2 linked regions of the Neodiprion lecontei genome follow. The protein of the gene in region 1 purifies or fractionates together with the protein of each later gene. This does not show direct contact. Links are inferred from orthologs where the notes say so. Each region holds a gene or a part of one and is shown on either strand. Other genes may lie near its edges. The genes, in order: tyrosine-protein kinase CSK and leupaxin.

Region 1 (5,208 bases):
CACGGAGGTTTTATAAAATTAACTCGCGTTAGCAAAAGGGATAAATCCATTTTTTTTATTTTACAATTTACCTCTCCCGTCCTTCATTTAGTTTATCTCGAATTTTCTTTCATTCTCTCTTCTATATACATGTTCTTTTGTTTTTCGTTTTTTTGTTTTAACGGTGTTACAGTTACACCTAGATTTATTCATTACTATCATTATTATCATCAATATTACTATCCACTCGATGAAAGCGTATATATTTAACGCGCACATGCCTGCGGAATTAAAAGTACGTGTATGATATAACCGAGAGGGAGCAGCGCGACTTTCGCATTCGTTCATAGTCTTCTAAAACCCACGCGGTAAAAACAGCACACATGATATGCGGGCAGATAAATACCTCGTCGGTATTTTTGTACAAATCGCGTGAGTATTCCGTTTATACCTGGTAGGTATTCACCGTATCTCTGCGACTCTGTGCCAACCACCATACAACCTCGTTGCGGCTTTACGCATCAACAACCGTGGTGTAAGAATTCGAAGAGGGATAAATTTAGATTCAACGAAGAAGGAAAGAGAACGAAGAAGAAGAAGAAGAAGAAGAAGAAGAAGAAGAAGAAGAAGAAGAAGAAGAAGAAGAAGGAACACACATCTGGAGCGACGAAGAGATATACATATACACACAACGCGTGCGTACGTGCGTAAAACGCAGTGCAGGCAGCAGCCTTGACCTACCGAACATATATTTCTCTCTGTTCGTATATTATCGACAAATCAAAATGTAGTGTGAAAAAGAAGACAAGACAAAACAAAACAAAACTTTAACGAGCATTGCTGAAAAGCAAAGAAAGAAAAGAAAAAAAAACCGTCTACCGAAGAGTCGAAAAACATATACCTACATTCGATTCGAGAATAAACCGGCAGATATTTGATCGAAGAGATGTTCTTGTACTGACCCTTTGAAGGTGCCATTTTTCGACTCAACAAATTTAAAAAAACCGTAAAGAATTATGTTGACAAGTTCTCTTAAATACACAAAAGATGGATATAAAATAGGTGGCAAGAATACTTATCACCGTAACTCAACCGTTTAAGCCAACGAAAACAACAACAGGAAAGTGAAAAAAAAACAAACAAACACGAATCGATGGCAACCGCATTTTTTACCAAGAACCTGTTACTCAGAACTATCGCCTCGAGACGAGTTATCAAACGTTTATAACAACTTAATCTGGGGCTTCTGGAACCGTTAAGTCTTATCATTACCATTGTCATTATTATTTCACGATAATCGTTAATTCATTCGGGATTACTTTACGCACGGTTTACACATTTCTTCGCTTCTTTTTAGAAAAATCTTTCGTTTAATTAAGAATCGAGAGAGGGAGAGAGGGAGAGAGAAAAAGAGAAAAAGAATTTCAACGCTCGCGTGTTGAAATAATCTTCATCCTATGCTCGCAAGTGTGGAAGTCTCTTTACGTATAATATTTCACACGTTCTTCGAGGTCGTCGTGTGCAGATGGAGGAAGAAGTCGACTGCGCTAACCGTGAGCATTAAACCGGCTGAAGAAATTAAGAGTCGATATTAACGCTCGTCGTTACGTGCAGGCGTAAATACTACGCGGTGAAATCGTATGATAATTCCATTCCTTCGTTCGATCGCCAACGCGATGTCGGAAAAAGTGGTTTTTCGAGAGGAAGAAAGAGAAAAAATTCCTCTCGCCCAATGTGGAATTCGCGCGAGAGTCGTCGCAGCGTTGTAAATAGTATCTATTCCGTACGGTATCAGCAAAGTGAAAATACCGCTGATGATTTTCATTCTCGAATGTCTTCTTATTCTTCTTCTTCTTCCACTTCTTCTCTACTTCAATCAAGAACGAATTCCGACGGCTCGGTGGTGAAACGCGAAGGAATTCCAAGACACGATATAAAATTCTCTGGCGTTTCTATCTTTTCGTTTACTCTCTCAGGCAAGCTCTCCTCCCTCTCTCTCTCTCTCTCTCGCTTTCGTTCTCTCTCTGTCTCTCAAGGTCGAAACATCAAATTCCATGGTGGGAGAATTCCGTGACTGTCGAAATTCCACGACGACTGAACACCCTGGTTATTGACGCTTGTTAAAAATCGTAAAAGCGTGAAGGAGGCGAGATCCTAATAACACCGAGTCGTCGAGGTTTAGCGACGGGTAAGCGAATTTCGAGAGGTGCTGCTGCTGCTGCATATTCCGTCCGTTCAAACATTGAATAAAACATAACGAATTCTCGCGCAAAGTGCCTGTAGTAAGTAACAGCGAATTGCGAAGGAGAGAACGTCGTTTTGTTTCTACGTATCGGGGTAGCAAGTAAATACTCGAAAAAATTAGAGCGATGAGAGGTATGCGAGGAAAGTTAGCGGACTCTTAAAGGGCCGGTCGATCGAGCAAGAATTAGGAAAACAGGGGGGAAAACGGTTAGAAACAGGTTCGAAAAAGTACGAGGTTCCACTCAGGAAGAGGAGAAAAATAAGCAACTTCGAGAGTTTCTCGCGGGTCGCTGCGTAAACTCGGTGACGATTAAAGACAAAAAACAGAGAAAAAAAACAATCGGGAAAAAATAAAAAAGCAATTCACACACTTCCCGACGGGAAACGCGGTCTGGTGTTCGTGCACACTCTAGTGCGTGGATGAGAGTCTCTCGGACTTCTATCCTCGTTTCGTGTAAAATTCTAGTAATTCTGTTTATATCGTGTTGTTTACGGATGAAGGTTGTTTTCCTGTACATTACCTGTTAACTAAGTGGAGTCGTGGTTTCCGCACTCGGTTGTATTCGTCGAGGGGTTAAACCAGCCAGACACTTTTACCCATCCACTTGACACAGCGCGACACCCGACGAGTATTTCACCTCGGACGTCAATTTTTTACCACGACGTCGACACAACACCGTAACAAACACCGTAACACTACATAGAGAACACCTTCGACTTCTGCGAGAAGCGAATGTCACACGCTCATCTCGACTCGTCGGCCATTTTGCCACAGAGCCTAGGTATCTGGTATGTAGGTGGAATTGAACGCTATAACCACTACTGTAATATCCGACAACACTTTGCGCCCACTTGGTTGGCAGCTCGTCGCTTGTGTTAATTCCGCTCGGCTGTTTGGTTGGCACTGAAGTAATACGGTACGACCCGTAATAAGAGTCCACCGACTAGGCAGCCTGCGGCCATCTTGCGGCCGCTCAACGAACCTCGGCTCCATGCTCTATCAATAAATTCTCACGCTGTGCCGCGAGGTGGGGGGAATCCGTAAATACCGAAAAAACTGAATGATTTCAATTCGGTTGATTCTGATCATTGTCTTTTCCCATGACAAATTAATGAAAGGGGTCGTTGTTACGACGACCGTAATTGTTCTCAATTCGCGATTTAAGTCTGTAAATTGAATATTTGGGTGAAACTCGTAGTGATCAATTCGTTTCCATTAGCTGTATGTACACCTTTAATACCATCAAACTGAAGTTAGTAACGTTATCGTAACGTTTGGAATTATTTGAAATTCAGTAAACCGTAACAGATGAAAACACACTCATGTTTCGACATCTTGTTCGTTCAAAACCATTGTAAAATTAAATAAGTACTCATTTTTCCCCAATGTTTCGTTACGATAACGTTATCCATATGAAAATATTTTCTTCATTATTCATAAATGAAAGAAGAAGAAGAAGCAGTTAACACGATAATAACTATTATATATTGACAAAGATTATTTGCTTTGGATGAATGTTGAATTTCAAAAACTTCACCAAACCAGCTAATAACTGGATATTCAGGCTCTGATAATTGCTAAAGTCCCTATATCTGTATACTGTAAGACTGTATTCTGACAATAGCCAAATGACTGATCTCGTTATTATTTTTGAGGGGAATATCAGCTGGTGTCTCGCCAATTGCATGCAATGATGCACATGGTATGCGTGTACATTGTCCACGTACGTCAGTGTGTACATATAATCGCGCAAGGTGAAGCAGTGAGTCACAGTGGTTTTGGAAGCGTAATTAATGGACGACGTTGACACTGTCTCGTCGAGGTTTGCAGCACATGCGACACACTGCATACATATATAAATACATTAAACTTGCGACAGAAGCAGTCATATATATAGGTATATCACAATGGATACTCTCCAGGGTCGCTTTCGACACGATTCAATGTTATGCCTAAGGTGATCTTCATGCATTCGCATTAAATCCTCTCTCGTGCATACTATATCCACACGATATACTCGCAACTATACAATATAGAGTCTGGTATATAATGCAATGCTTGCCAAATACACATTTAACAATCAATTATTTTCAAATTTACACAAAATAATAAATATGCTAAAATTTAATTTACGAATATCGTTCTATTTCAAAGTATTTTACCATTTTTAGTTGTCGTCAAAGCAGAAAAACGATTGGCAGGCGGTTAAATTTATCAGAGTACAAAATTGAGGGAGACATTTCGCGCCTGGACTGCACAACCTGTGGCAAGTTTATCGCGATCAAGACCGTGGATGATGTAATTAATCTCGACGGTGTTATTGACAGCGATTGCGATGATATTTGGTTGGAGGTTGTAGTAAATAAATAAATAAACGATTGAATGATGATTGCTTACATTACCGTTTCTACCTTACATATCTTTCACGCATAAGTATTTTGTTCATCAGGCTAAAACACGAAAGGAAAAAATCGTCTACTACGCATTGTCTCAGATTATCTACTTAGAGCGTGATTCACCAAAGGAAGAAAAATATGAATCGGTCTTTGCTTATGCTGACGAATCTGACTTAGTTATGCTTAGATGGAAAAACGGTACGGCGATCGGATTTTTTACGCTCAAGCAAAAAGGTAACACACGTCTAGGTGAACATAAGTAACTCGAAATCCTAAGAATCCAATCTTATTAAATTGAGAAATTAACATTTTCCAATTCGGACAAATTGATTTACACTAACAATTCGTATGTATCGAAACATGCTGTTCCGAGCTGATGGCAGAAAACGTGATGCTTAAACTCGATCATATTCAAATACAAAACTTGATTTTTGTTCCATATTTTACTTGAACATTCATTTAATACCGGAAAATAAGTTTAACAACTTGGATGATATATTCTGTGCTTCATGTTCGAATAATTGACTTCAAACGATCAGCTGATAACTCAGCACGTCGCCATGCTGACGAAATGTATGTTACTAAAAT
Region 2 (5,197 bases), about 18 Mb from region 1:
TGTGCTTGTTCGGCATATGTCAGCGAATAATTCCTGGTTATGCATATTCAAAGAATGTCAGCAGATTGCGTTATAGAAAGCAATGCGTCAAGCTGCAAGCCGCTTGAGAAATTGGCATATTAAGGATACTTTTATTGTAAGAATATATTAATCAGCTATTGCAAGATCTTTCAAATAAAATAATATGAAAAAGTTCGCATTTTCTCATTATTTTTCGTAAAATTAAGACTAAAATCCCAGTTTGTTACAATTAGAGGTGAAAATATTTCTATCTCTAATTCAGAATCTATCTAATTGTAATTTTGTTTTCTGTGAAGTAATTAATCAAGTTTAACTTGTACCGAAACCGTCGAAAGAATTGAATGATTTTTTCATTGAGTAAATAAAATGCTCAATTACTTACTGCGTAAAACGTACCTTTAACAATTACTTAGGTAATCAGAGCATTTATACTTGTATCATCATATCTGAAAATTGGTATTATTCATATATAGAATAAATTGAAGATACGCTTTTTTTAATTCTTGCAGGTTCATTTTTTTGAATCGCTACATTTGCATTGAGGTTTTATTAGCTTTCTCATAATTATCTCAAGAAAATTTACGTGCAAGCAATGTAGTAAATAACAATTGTTATGAAGTTAAGAATATGTAAATCACAAAAATATGTAATAACACATTGAACGTCGATGTAGTAAAACTTCATTTATACGTTTCTCAAGAGGTATATCATATTTTATAAAATATTAGCATGTTTGTACATGTACAAAAATATACGAAATGTACAGATACATGTACGAAATACGTATCAAATTTGTGGTATTTTGTAAAAAAAATGTTGTAATAAAGAAACGATATCATTTAAATGATTAATCAAAAACTTCATAACTCCGAAGCTAGATGTATCGGAATATTCGATTTAGTCTTGACAATTTTGTTTTACATGTATAATCTTGTGTGAAAATTTAATCAGAATTGATTACGGAACTTTTGAGAAAACGTTGATTTTCGATCTTTGGGCGGTAGACATAGAAAATATTAAAAAGCATACCTCGAACGAAAAACTGACCTGTGATTAAGAGAAAAATGGGCTAAAGGAGTGTAGCGACAAATGTCACCGTCTAAGTGCAAACCTAACGAAGGACGTAGTACGTAATATTCATTTCTGGGTTTCCCAGTGGTTGATTATTTTTTGGAATCAAAACCGGAACGGGTTTCCTTTCTAAGTAAATTTTATATGCAAATGACTAACGACGTAAGTAACAGGAAAAACAAACGATACATTGATCAATAGGCACATAAAATTTTTATAAAAAGAAACATGTTTCGGTTTGATTACAAAAAAAGAAATAGTCAACCACTTGGAAACCATTAATGAACATTACTCAAGCGAAATGCTTCTAGATAATTTGTAGCCAAAAACTGTCAAGATCAAAAACATTTGACGTTGGCATACAAGAGTGAAAAACATATAAATAAAATCTTAAATCATCATACTTGAAAGTGAAGTTTTGCCAGTGAATGGAGTAAATTCATTTCGAGCAACAATAAAGCGTTTCAAAAATACTTCTTCCATAATCTTGCGATGTGGAACGATGCAGTCGAGATATGCACAACATTCTATTCTGTTACGCATTTTGTGGCACGCGCGTGGATCGTACATATCGTGTCCGTGGATTCATACGTATAAGTATATATTCTCTCTTGAATTCCTGACTCTTAATGCAACAAAACTACTACAGAGATCCCGTGCACTGTAATCCGTTATACTCGCGAAGAACATCCTGCCTGTAAGTCTATGATTTATACTCATCCTCTGCACCGCGGTATAATGTAAATGCGCTGCAAATGATGATATACTCTGCAGGTACCAACGCTTAAGAGATTTAATTTATTTCGTGGATTAAGAAATAGTATTTATCGCAGATTAAACACGCGTGCAGTTTCCATCCTTGGTAAAGTTTGTCTATTCGGTTTATTCGCACTCTAAGTCGGAAAAAGTGACGTCACATCACGGACTAATCCACATTCAAGAACCTTGAATTTGCTACTTATTCGAGCATGTATCGATGGTTCAAGTTACCCAATAACCCTTGCGACAAACTGTACCTTTAACCTCAACACCAGAGCGTCGATGACGTCAGCCGCAGCGTCAACCGAGTCGCGACTGCCGTGATTTCTGATCGAAACGTAAGGAATCTGATATAATATTGAAGTTAGTCACGTTGTTGTAACGATTGTATGCGATAAGCAAGTCGTTATTTCGAAATTTCGAATTCCGCTTTCCCTCTGAAATTCAATAAACCGTACTAGCATATGAAAACATACTAATCTACTTATTTTGAAAACTTGCCTCCCTTCAAATCATTCCAATAGAGTTTTCAATTGACTGCACTGAATGCATCGAGTGTGAATTTCCCCGGATTTCACTTTTACTATTTGTCGAAAACTGAAGAACTGACATGTAGTACACACTGATTGTGAGTGCAGCCCGTTAAAAACCCTATAAGATCGTAAACTAGTGAATTTTTTCTCAAACCTACGTTACCAAATAGCGTTTTTCACTAGCTGTATTCGGTGTGCATTGAGTGCAATATTCCCAGCTTCGAAGGAAAAACAGAAGCGAAATCCTAGGAAAATCGCACTCAGTGGGCACTGCATTTAGCTAGTGAAAAATTCTACTACTTCAACCTTGAAAATCACAAATACGAGGGACGAATGGTCGGGGGATCTTGAGACGAATTGGATTCTCACCGAGGCTTACGAGGTTGCTCGAGGCCCCGTTGCGGGCCCTCTGAGGATCGTAGACCTCGTAAAGGTCGTTACTGTCGGTCGACCTCCTGGCGTAGGCGCACTGACTGTCCATTTTTACGAGGTGAAGAAAACGGTACGCACCAACTTATTTCGCGAGTAAATATCACCGGCAAACCACCTTTGCGTTCGAATGGAGAAAAGGGGGGAGGCTGGATTAGGGTCTAGTAACTGGGTCTTTTCGACTGTGCAATTTATATACTCCAAACGTGCGCGGTAATATATTTGTACAATATTCTGGCGCCGTTCGTAGACAGCGGAGTTGAGTGGGACCGACCGACCAACTGACTGACTGACTGTGAATTGCTTGCTCTGACGAGAAGGTCGCCGGTCGGCCATTCGCCGATTGCGTTGGGACTCTATGGGCTTCCGCGAAGCGTTCCCTCGAGGAGGTGGAGGAAAGGCTGTCGCCTTCTCCGTCGCCCGACGCGGTTCACAGGGGGAGGGGGGTGAGCGGGCGGGGGGGGGGGGAGGTGGAAACGTGTAAGCGGCGGAGGACTCGTCGCGGCATCGCATCGTCTGGAAAAATGAAGGGGGGGGGGGGGGGGGGGACTCCAGCGTGACGAAATTTTTCTGTAATCTCCGGTGCACGACGAACGCGCGCCTCCAGAGCTTCGTTATCTCGGGTCTTTCGCCCCACTTCACGCGGAATCGCGTTGTCAGTTCCAAAAACTGTTTTATACCTAGTATATTGTACGTATGTATGGGGTAGAGTTGGAACGAAGAAAGGCGGGGATTCATGTTTTGTTGAGGATATTGTGAAGATCGAGGAGACGCTTTTGAAATTCAGGATCAGAATTACCCTGTCGGTCAGTTATTTTTATAAACGATCGATGAAAAATGGAGGTCTTGGTAATAAAAGGTATAAAAGAACTAAGGTGATGAAAATTTCAGAATTCTCTTAAGTGAGTGTAAACAAAATGGCGGGGGTGAATGCTATCTACATTTTTTTCATACTTTTTCACGGTTTTGATTCTCAGTTTTAATCAATTCCGACGCCCAGATAGATGGAATAACTATAAAATAAACTTGTAAAATGCGAAAAATATCGAAGTCGCATTTTCAAAATTTATTGCTCTCATCGATTATGTCGCTCTGGTTCTCTCTCTTATTTGAACGGAAATTCATGAACTACCAAGTCTGTAAATTTTATTACTGATAATGCACGCGAAAAATAATATACCTAATAATTTTATTTCATCCGCAAGTATCCGCGATTCATCATTGTATACGACTTCATTGTGACTATTTGCTGTACATTTGATACGTTCTGCAGAAAAGATTGATGCGTAGCTGTCAAGAGTACGACGTTCCAACGTAGCTTATTGCATACTTTCGGAACGTGAATGAGCTTTAAGCTTTGGCTAAAAGCCCAGAGGTTAATTTTGTTTAATTTTTTTTGTAACGTTTAGTTTGGTTTTTGCGCGCGTTCAAATCTATTTTATGACTCGTGAATCATTGCGTGAATGGTTTCTAAACCAACGCAGCAGCAATATTGATTACATAGATTGATAAACCGAACGAGATAATAAATTTTCAACCTCTCTGCATACAAATATAATGCATTATATAATATTACATGTCACTTTAAATAGAGTTCACGTACATCTCAGATTTCCTACCAATTAACCAATTGTCACTTGACGACGTGAAATCCCATAACGTATAATCAACGTATAACGTTAATTGTGCTATTTTTACTTACTAATATAACGCTCCCAGCGTTTATGCCGCTCCAGAGTGGCCGAACGGGCAGGCGTAATTGGGGACATCGGTCTCACAGAGGTACTCGTCATTTTCACAATCAGTCAATTTATTACAAAAAAATACACTTCACCGTATACCACTTACAGCTCTGTGTCTATAAAAAAGAGATTTCCGGACGTTGAAAAATCTAACCCAGTGATTCTTATAAGGTAATTATTACCCAAAGTTATTCAGTCCATTTATCCAAGCCCGATGCTTGATGGCGACTCAATAACAATTTCGACCACATAAGATTTACTGATAACTGAACTATGTAACAAGATTTAATTTCGATTCCAGAATGGAGGCACAATTCAAGCCTGAATAGAAAATCAAAATAAAAAAAATGAATGTTCTAATCACTTAAGAGAATTGTGGGTACCATCATTTCGAGAGTCAACGACTATCCAAGATGTATATTTTTTGAACCCTTAAAATCCCTAATTGAGAAACTTGTAAGACCTCTGTTGTCTGTTGTCCGCAAAATCGATACTGTATATGTCGCGTGATAATCAGAATATCAGATCTAAGCGTGACGTTTCAAAAACTTTTTATTTTCATACACTCCTGCGAACTTAGGCGCGGGCTCAAATCGATCAACTCAAAGGTGACAAATTGGTCACTCGAGTTGCGAGATAAAT

What was found.
Region 2: the proteins of tyrosine-protein kinase CSK (region 1) and leupaxin purify together in Homo sapiens (affinity purification with mass spectrometry; 4 studies listed by BioGRID and IntAct, with this or other methods). This does not show direct contact. The link is inferred for Neodiprion lecontei from reciprocal best matches to the Homo sapiens genes CSK and PXN.

What each region holds. Positions count from the first base shown.
Region 1 is NC_060264.1:27,154,643-27,159,850, forward strand, and holds the start of tyrosine-protein kinase CSK, read right to left. Parts: upstream 3,097-5,208; 5' UTR 3,013-3,096; coding exon of another isoform or gene 2,957-3,012; 5' UTR 2,745-2,956; intron 1-2,744. Other genes in the region: protein FAM169B-like, read left to right, coding at 2,957-3,012, 4,396-4,576, 4,674-4,854. UniProt on the Homo sapiens protein: Non-receptor tyrosine-protein kinase that plays an important role in the regulation of cell growth, differentiation, migration and immune response.
Region 2 is NC_060264.1:9,647,785-9,652,981, forward strand, and holds the start of leupaxin, read right to left. Parts: upstream 3,074-5,197; 5' UTR 2,866-3,073; coding exon 2,754-2,865; intron 1-2,753. UniProt on the Homo sapiens protein: Cytoskeletal protein involved in actin-membrane attachment at sites of cell adhesion to the extracellular matrix (focal adhesion). Recruits other proteins such as TRIM15 to focal adhesion.